Coturnix japonica: one gene and its partner. Each later gene encodes a partner of the first gene's protein in a complex. Links are inferred from orthologs where the notes say so. Each region holds a gene or a part of one and is shown on either strand. Other genes may lie near its edges.

What was found.
Region 2: the proteins of NR5A2 (region 1) and NR0B2 are in contact, whole or in part, in a crystal structure (PDB 1YUC), measured with the Homo sapiens proteins. The link is inferred for Coturnix japonica from reciprocal best matches to the Homo sapiens genes NR5A2 and NR0B2. Residues at the interface, in NP_995582.1 of Homo sapiens: Phe354, Val357, Arg361, Phe366, Val371, Asp372, Gln374, Met375, Leu378, Gln379, Asn529, Asn530, Leu531, Glu534, Met535; in NP_068804.1 of Homo sapiens: Arg17, Pro18, Ala19, Ile20, Leu21, Tyr22, Leu24, Leu25, Ser26, Ser27, Ser28.

The regions. Positions count from the first base shown.
Region 1 is NC_029523.1:1,557,024-1,560,825, reverse strand, and holds part of NR5A2 (nuclear receptor subfamily 5 group A member 2), read left to right. Parts: intron 1-2,463; coding exon 2,464-2,601; intron 2,602-3,802. UniProt on the Homo sapiens protein: Orphan nuclear receptor that binds DNA as a monomer to the 5'-TCAAGGCCA-3' sequence and controls expression of target genes: regulates key biological processes, such as early embryonic development, cholesterol and bile acid synthesis pathways, as well as liver and pancreas morphogenesis.
Region 2 is NC_029538.1:1,621,804-1,626,265, reverse strand, and holds NR0B2 (nuclear receptor subfamily 0 group B member 2), read left to right. Parts: upstream 1-1,505; 5' UTR 1,506-1,685; coding exon 1,686-2,211; intron 2,212-2,648; coding exon 2,649-2,929; 3' UTR 2,930-3,907; downstream 3,908-4,462. UniProt on the Homo sapiens protein: Transcriptional regulator that acts as a negative regulator of receptor-dependent signaling pathways. Specifically inhibits transactivation of the nuclear receptor with which it interacts.

The DNA of each region.
Region 1 (3,802 bases):
AGCTCTCCAAAGTATGTTCATCTGTAGCGATGGCTGGCAGAGCAGCACTGCAGCGCGCACTTCGAGCCTGCCCAATCCCTGCCCGGCAGAACGATGCAGAGCCCATGAGCGAGACCGGAGCCCCCGAGGACCGCCGGCAGGGCCGGGCCCGGGGTGCGGGCATTTCGGCCGTTCTGCCTGGTCTGCCCGCGGGGTTCTCTTCCCCAGCTTTCGCCCAAACGCAGGTGCTTTGCTCAGAGCAGAATTCACGAGAGCAGCGGCACGGGGCGCCTCGGCGGGACTTAGTCCCGTGCGGCGTGACCGAGAGGAGAGGGAGCGGCGGTTCCCCGACGGCTCAGCGGGCCGCCCTCTCGCCGGGCCCGAAGCCGTGGCCTCGCCGCAGAGCGCAGCCCCCGGCCCGAGCCCCGAGCTTCGAGTCCCGGGACGGGCGCCCGAGGTAGCGGAGCCGTTGCTGCGCTCAGCCCCGGCCAAAGCCGAACCGCAGCCCGGAGCCGGGGCGGGTGACGCACGGCAACGCGGTTCCGTGGGCTTGTCTGTGACTGAGGCCCGGGGGAGATGCTCCCCAGCGGCCGCACGGTCTCGGCCGGGCCCGCTCCTCGCAGGGGATGGGCGCAGCCCCTCGGGAGCTCTCGGCCGCCCCGCTGAGCACCGCGCTGGCGCGTCCCGCGGCTTGTCGCGCCTCTGCGTCGGGCTGCGGGAGAGATGCTAAGGTGTGAAGTTACAGCCTGAGCAATAACGCCGTGACATGGACCAAAACTTCCCTGTACGGCTTCATCCCGAAGGGGAACGGCAAAACGTAAGGAGCCCGTAAGCTCCGAGCCTCACTGCCTGCTGGGTCCAGCCCCACAACGCCCTGCACAGAGTGGGAATGACAGACACATTTGTGTGTCTGTGTAAGGCAGGCTCGGGGTCTGCACTCAGTTAAGCAAAGCTCTGCCCGTCGGTGGGTGAGGAAAGTTCCAACTGTGGAGAATATGGCACACGCGATGCACCCCCCCCCGCTCCCTTTCGTTCATCACAAGCGGCTTTAAGCTCGAGCACGGGTCCACTGCTCCGAAATCTGTCCCATCCGATGGGAAAAGCGGTCCCCAGCGCCGCAGACGGTTCCGCGCCTCATTTGCAATCGGAAGCAGTTTTCAGCGCCGACTATTTTCAGCTTTTCATATACACAACGGTGACTGAACTCCCGGGGCAGCACGGGAGGGGGGTCTCGGATGCTCGCAGAGGTGACAATAACGCTCAGCCCACACCGCCCGGTGGGGGCGGCCGGAGCCCGCCGTGCCCGCAGCGTGACCGGGACGGGCCGCCTCGCCCTGCGGGGTCGCCCAGCTCCAGCTGAGACACCGCCGTTAGAGAAACGAGTTATCTGGGATAACGCGGGGAGTGGTGCCGCACGCTGCACCGTGAGCCGAGGAAGGGAAGCGGTTGCTCAAGCGATGGCTCGGCCGGAGCATCGGATTTTGTGCAAACGATGCAACCGGCAGCGATAGATTTCGCAAGAAGTTTTAGGGAAAGGAGACGCAAAGAGACAGAATAGACAGGGCGAGCTCCCGCCCGCTACGTTCAGGCTCTGGGGCAGAGAGGCGGCAGCGGGTCCCGAGGGCCGGGGATCCCCAGACGCCGAGGTTCCCGCTGCCTGTCCCCGCCCGCAGGAGGACAGGAGAGCGCCGGGGATCCCGCGGGAGTCAGAGGGGAGCTGCAGCGGGTGCGCGGCGGTCTGGGGGCCGTCGGGCTGTTCTGGAGCGGGCGGGTTCGGCTGCAGCCCCGGCCCCGCAGCCCCGGCCAACAAGCGGGCGGGGGGCGATCACGCTGTGCGAGCGTGTGCGAGCGTGTGTGTGCGCGCGTGTGTGCGCGGGGGTGTCGCTCGTTTCTCCTCCGCCGTATTGGCTGCTAGAGCCGTGTCGGTGCCCCCCTTCGCCGGAGCCCCCCGCGGCCCCCAGGCTCCGGGAGCGCCTCCCCACGGGTCCGGGGCGAGAGGTCCCGGCTCGGCACCTCCGCACTTGTGGCGGGGGAAAGGGGGAGGAGGAGGAGGAGGGAGGAAGGGAGGAGGGGGCCGGGGGTGGGAACCCTGTCCAGCAGCACCGGCGGCGGCAGAGCGCTCCCGTGCACTGCGCCTCTCCGCATGGATCGGGGCGCCGGGCTACCGCCGCGCTGAGCCCCGGGCGGAGCTGCTGCGGGCCCCCGGGGTCGCTCCTTCCTCTCCGACACCCCCCCGGTCTTCCTCCTCCTCCTCCTCCTCCTCTCCTCTCCGCCCCCGCCGCCTGCAGACCGACAACCGCTCCGCGGCTCTCCCGGCCGCGGGCACCCGGCGGCGCTTCCCGGCGGCCGGGGCCGCTCGGCGCTCCCGCTGCGGCGGGGCAAGGGCTGGCGCGGAGCGGAGGGAGGGAAGAGGAGGAGGAGGAAGAAGAGGCATCGGCCGCCGAGCGCCCCGCGGTCCCGCTAAATCTGTGCTGCCGTGTCCAGGTGCCGGTGCCGCGGACGGACACGGAGCTCCCAGCCCGGCCCGCAGCCGCCTTGTCATGCTGCCCAAAGTGGAGACGGAGGCTCTGGGACTCGCCCGGTCGAATGGGGAACAGGGGCAGATGCCAGAAAACATGCAAGGTAAGGGTCCAGGAACTGCACGGCGCTCCCCCTCCGCGCACGCTCGGCTCCCCACCCTGCAAACCGCCCCCGCGTCCTGCCAAAAAAGTTTAGGGCTGCCGCCCTCGAGCTCCTCCGAATTCGCTCCTTCCCGGTTCGGGCGGGCACCGGCGCCGGATCGTGGCAGAGCCCGGCCGGGAGGCGCGGCCGCGGCGGGCGGGAGCCTTGTCCGGGGGTGCAGACGCTCGCGGGTCGCTGCTCGGGGACACCGCCGTGGGCCGGAACGGACGCGGGCGGCCCATCCCCGCTCCGCCCGAAACTATCGCTAAGTTTACGGCGGAGGAGCGGCACGGAAAAGTCCCGGAGAACAGCCCGAGTGCCAACCCCGGGGTCCGAGGGGACGGCCGCTGCCGGCACCCCACGGGTACAGCGCAGGTGGCAGCAGCCGCGGGGCGAAACTTCGCCAAGACCCCGGCGTGCGGTGCACCGTGCCGGGTCCCTCCGCGGGTGACGGCGGGACGCCCGAGCTGGAAGCGCCTCGACCGGCCGGGGAGGAATCGGTTCCCGCAGCCCCGTGAGCGGACGCCGCCCGCTCCCTCCCCTACATGCCCCGAGCGGCGGGTCCTGCCCCGTGGCTCTTCGGAAGCCGTCCCATGTCGTCCCGGGAGCCCGCAGGGAAGCAGGGGCGGAGTGGGCCGGGGGTTCGGAGGTGCCAGGGGCGGCCCACCCGCCCCTTTCTTCGCCCGCAGAGGAGGCTCCCCGCCAAGCGCTCGGAAAGCCCCCGCTTTCCCACTTTATTTTTTTCTTTCTCCTGCGAGGACAGAGCACTCGGTCCCAGCGCCGGGTCCCGGAGCGGCGGCCGCGGGAGCGGAGAGGGGGCCGGGCCTTTCTCCTCCCCCGTCCGCTGCCGCCCCGCGTCCGCCCCACGCCGCTGGCAGGCGGTGACTCCGGCCGTGCCGAGGCCGCCCCGGAGCCGCTGCCCCGGCCGCGTGTCGGCGGGTTCATGCCCCGGCGCGCAGCACCCGCGGCCCCCAGCCGGGCTCTCCGCGGGGCGTTTCGGGCGGACTACGGTCGCTCCGCCGCCCGCGGCATCCGCGGGGCTACCGGGAGGGAGGCGACGTCCCGAGCGCCGTCGCCGGGCGCCCGGTGCCTTCCGCGACCGCTCGGGAACCGTCCGCCGCCGCCGACCCGAGGTCCAGGGAGGGAAATCGGCGGCGCCGCT
Region 2 (4,462 bases), on another chromosome or scaffold:
GCCTACATCCGGGTACTTTACCCTTGGCTTTACCTGTATCTCCTCCACAGACACCACACAGTTCAAAGAGCCTCTAATCCAGGCCTAAGCAGCACAAAGAGCCTGTAATCTGCAGTATGGACAGGCTATGCTGGTCCCTGTGGCTGCTGTAGGCCTCATTGCTGGGTTCACTCCATTGCACTGAGAGCTGTGTGCATTAGAGTGAGTGGTCCTTATCCCCATAGGGTTCCTATTGCTCCATTAAATCAATCAGCAGGTGCTGCCGCTTCCCCAGGCTGACTTGTGTTGGCCGACAAATGCAGGTAGATGGGTGTTTTTTTGGTGAAAAGCCATCAGTGTGGCCATCAGTTCCATCCCATTTGTGCACCAAGAGCTGCGTGCCCTTAAATCACAGAATCAATCACAGAATGACCCGGGTTGGAAGGGACCTCAAGGATCATGTAGCTCCAACCCCCTGCCTGGCAGGGCCATAAAACATACACATTTACTAGATCAGGTTGCCCAGGAGACCCCATAGATCCCCATAGAGACCCCATAGACCCCATAGACCCCATAGAGACCCCATAGACCCCATAGATTCCCATAGAGACCCCATAGACCCCATAGACCCCATAGAGACCCCATAGAGACCCCATAGATCAGGTTGCCCAGGGCCCCGTCCAACCTGGCCTTGAACACCTCCAAGGACGGGGCATCCACAACCTCCCTGTGCAGCCTGTTCCAGGGCCTAACCACTCTCCTAGTGAAGAACTTCCCCCTAACATCCAACCTAAATCTTCCCTCTTTTAACTTAAAACCATTTCCCCGTGTCCTGCCAAATCACTTGTTCCCATCCTCACAGGGTTCACCAGGCACCCCCTGTGTGAGGAATTCCTCACAGGCCCCACTGGAATCCATAATTGTGTGCTGTCATTTAACTAATGCTGATCAAAACATACAAATTCCAGAGCAATTCAAGGTAAAAACCTATAAACCTGCCTCTCACCTACCCAGCATTACTCCTTCAGCACAATGGGCTGCTGCCTTTAGGTTTAGTCTTTCAGTTCACCACCTTCCTTAACTGCAACAACACCGATCTCCTGTCAACAAGGTTAGGCAAACAGCTGCTGATAAAATGACTTCCAGGTTGCTCTTTCCAAGGCCATTTGCCATGGGGTCCTCGCTTCAGACGAACACCCTGTGTGTGTATGTGTGTGTGTGTATGTGTGTGTGTGTGTGAACTCCTTGGCAGCGACAGCTGCCAGATAGCACAACCTGATTGCAGCGTGGGGCCTTGGTGCCATGGTACAGCCCGGGTTAATGACTTTGTTTATACTGTTTGGGTAATTGTGATAAGGCTGCCCAACCCGCTGCCCCTGCTGGGGTTTCATTGAGAAAACGGCCATTGACGCCATGCTGAGATCCTGCTGGTTCCAGCCAATCAGTCTGGGGACAGCTGGGGTTGGTGGCTTTTTTTTTTTGTTGTTTTTTTTCTTCTTTAATGAGGACCGCTTAATCACGGAGCGGTCAAGGCTGGGAAGGGGTGTTCCACTTGTGACCGAGCCTTATAAGAGCTTGTTTGAACAGCCATGTGCTGGCAGAGCTGGGAGGACAGGTCACTCCCAGATTGAGACGGGGAGGAAACTTACAGGTCTCTCCCATCTGCGGAGTTTCACAGAGGATCCGGGGCTCCCAGTTCTGCTCTGATGACCAGCAGCATAGACATGGACTGCGAGAGGTGTCAGTGCCAGCATGAAGACAAACACCCAGCCATTCTCTACACCCTCCTCAGCCAGAACCTGAGCCACAGCCCACCTCACCAACGCTGCCTGTGCCACCAGCGCTGGACGGTCTGCCTCCGGACACCCCATATCACCTGCCAAGCTGCATCCGACGTGTTGGTGAAAACCATCAGCTTCATGAAAAACCTCCCTTCCTTCCACCTGCTGCCTCGAGGGGACCAGCTCCTGCTGCTGGACAGCTGCTGGGTCCCCCTCTTCCTCCTGGGGCTGGTCCAGGAGACGGTGACATTTGAGGTGATGGAGACCCCAGCCCCCAGCATGCTTGAGAAGATCCTCCTCGATGGCCAAAGCAAAAGGCAGGAGCCTGAGTGGACTCAGCCCATGCTGGCCGCTGTGCAGTGGCTGCAGTGCAGCCTCAACACCTTCTGGAGCCTGGACTTGAGCCCCAAAGAATACGCCTACCTGAAGGGAGCCATTCTCTTTAATCCTGGTGAGTGTTCAACCCTCCCAGCTCTGCCTGCTGGTGGCAAGAGAAAGCCCTGCATGAGTTAGCATTTAAAAACACTGCTCTTGGCTTGGAGTCGCTCAGAGTTTGGGCAAAAGTGTGTGTGAGAGCAGGGAGAGCTGCTCACATCATTAGCACCAGCAATGCAGTTTACCTCTGGGAAGCAGGGAGGAGGGATACTGAAAATGTAGTGTTTAAAAGCAGAGACCTCCTTACCTTGCAATCAAAGAACCCTGGGTCTTACTCTACAAAGCCCATGTTTGCTTCATTAGCTGTATTTACTCCCTCAAAGCAACAGCCCTGAAATACATGTTGTTAATGGCTCTGAGGTTTTTCTCCAAGATACGGGGAGAGAGATGGGAGAAACCTCGAGCTGTTTTCCAGCCTTCCTCTTCACATCCTTCCCTCCTTTCTCTTGGCAGATGTCCCAGGGCTGACAGCCTCCCTGTACATCGAGAGCCTCCAGCGGGAAGCCGAGCGAGCGCTTCAGGAAGTTGTGCAGATCCTACACCCCAAGGACCAGGACCGCTTTACCCTCATTTTACTCATCACCTCCACCTTGAAATCCATCCCTCCTGCCCTCATCACAGACCTCTTCTTCCGACCCATCATTGGCAACGCAGACATTGTCGAGCTCATCGTGGATATGCTGTATGAAATCACCAGCTGGCAGCCGGCTCCTTCACCACGCGTGGCTCTGTGAGCTGCTGTGCTCTGCCACAGCCCTGGGGGTGCTCAACAACACCTGGCAGGGCAGCAGGGAGGACTGTGGAGCAGGCAGTCAGGCACTCAGCTCCACAGGGCTTTGCGTGTGCCTCTCTCTAGGCTGTAGGGCTCAGAGCATAAAGGAAAGCAGCCTTGATTCAGCATGGCTGCTCCACCTCTGCCAGTCTGTTTTGAGGAATGTGAGTGTGTGTGGCTGGTGGTACTGAGTTTCTAGCAAGCAGGCCAGCCCTGTGACACAGAGCAGACTGAGTTAGAGCCTGCTCCAGGCTTTTTATATCTCAGTGAATCCTCAGTTCAATTAAAATCAATGTGTGTTTTGTTAACTCCATGAGATGAGGTTGGACCTCAACTTGCTGCCCGTGATGGCTCTGTGCTGATAGTGGTATTTAGGGGTGCTGAGTATCTTCGGTGGTATCACTTGTAGAGTACAACCAGGTGCAAGCCGTAAGGAATTAGATCTTTAAGTATCAGCCAGTGTCTGCTGTGCATGAAATCTCACAGACAGCCACCAAGAATCCTCCTCAGACAGCAGGAGGGAGAAGCATCAGATCTTACAGGGCGTGCAGCCAGCTTCATGAACGCCTCCTGCCTCTCATCACATCGCATCTCCTCCCCACGATGCCATGAGCTGCAACAGGATTGCTCACAGATTGGATTACCTAAGAGCAGTGAAACGTACGGCAAATAACGCTGCATGAACACCACTTCATCCTCCCTATACACCTCAATATATATATGGCAATACTTGGAATGGCTCAGGAACACACTGAGCTACAGACACTGAACAAACATCCCTGCCTTGAGTTCCAGCTGGTTCAACATAGTAGGAAAGCTCGCTTCTCCTGCCTGCAGCTTTTGTCACTGATGTCAGTATTTAATGAGCGGACCTTCATTTGATTTGTACATAAGATGCAGTAAATTATTTTTTTAATAAAAACGTGTCACATTTTGGTGATTTTTTGTTATATTTCTGGCATTTTGGACTTGTAGAAATAGCTGTTGGAGGTACAGTGTGGGAAGGACACCTGAATGCAGGGATGGAGCATCATAGGGAATCATAGGGGAGCATTGCAATGCAGCCCCATGAGCTGTGCTGGGCACACACTGCTCTGTGCACTGAAACCTGCAGAGGCAGCACAACTGCAGCCTGTCTGTGCTGCACCTTCCTTCACGCACACAGCCACACCTGGAGGTGCTGATGCAGGAGGTTGGTGCTGACTCACCTGGATGTGCACACACAGCCCTCAGCCCACAGGAGAACAGCCATACAAAGCCTCCTGGCTCCCCACCACCATAAACACACCGTGTTTGAACAGCAGCCTGCTGGGAGAACTGTGTGCTGCCCATCCGTGCCAACACACAGCAGGTCGCTTCCAAGGGGATCTCAGCCTGACAGCCCTTCTCCAAAGGGAAGGTGGGTTGGTGTGAGTCACCCCATGATCCCTGCAGGCCCACGCCAGCCACGAGCTGCTCAGCACGGTGACATGTGTGTGAGTCACTGTGTGCTGGG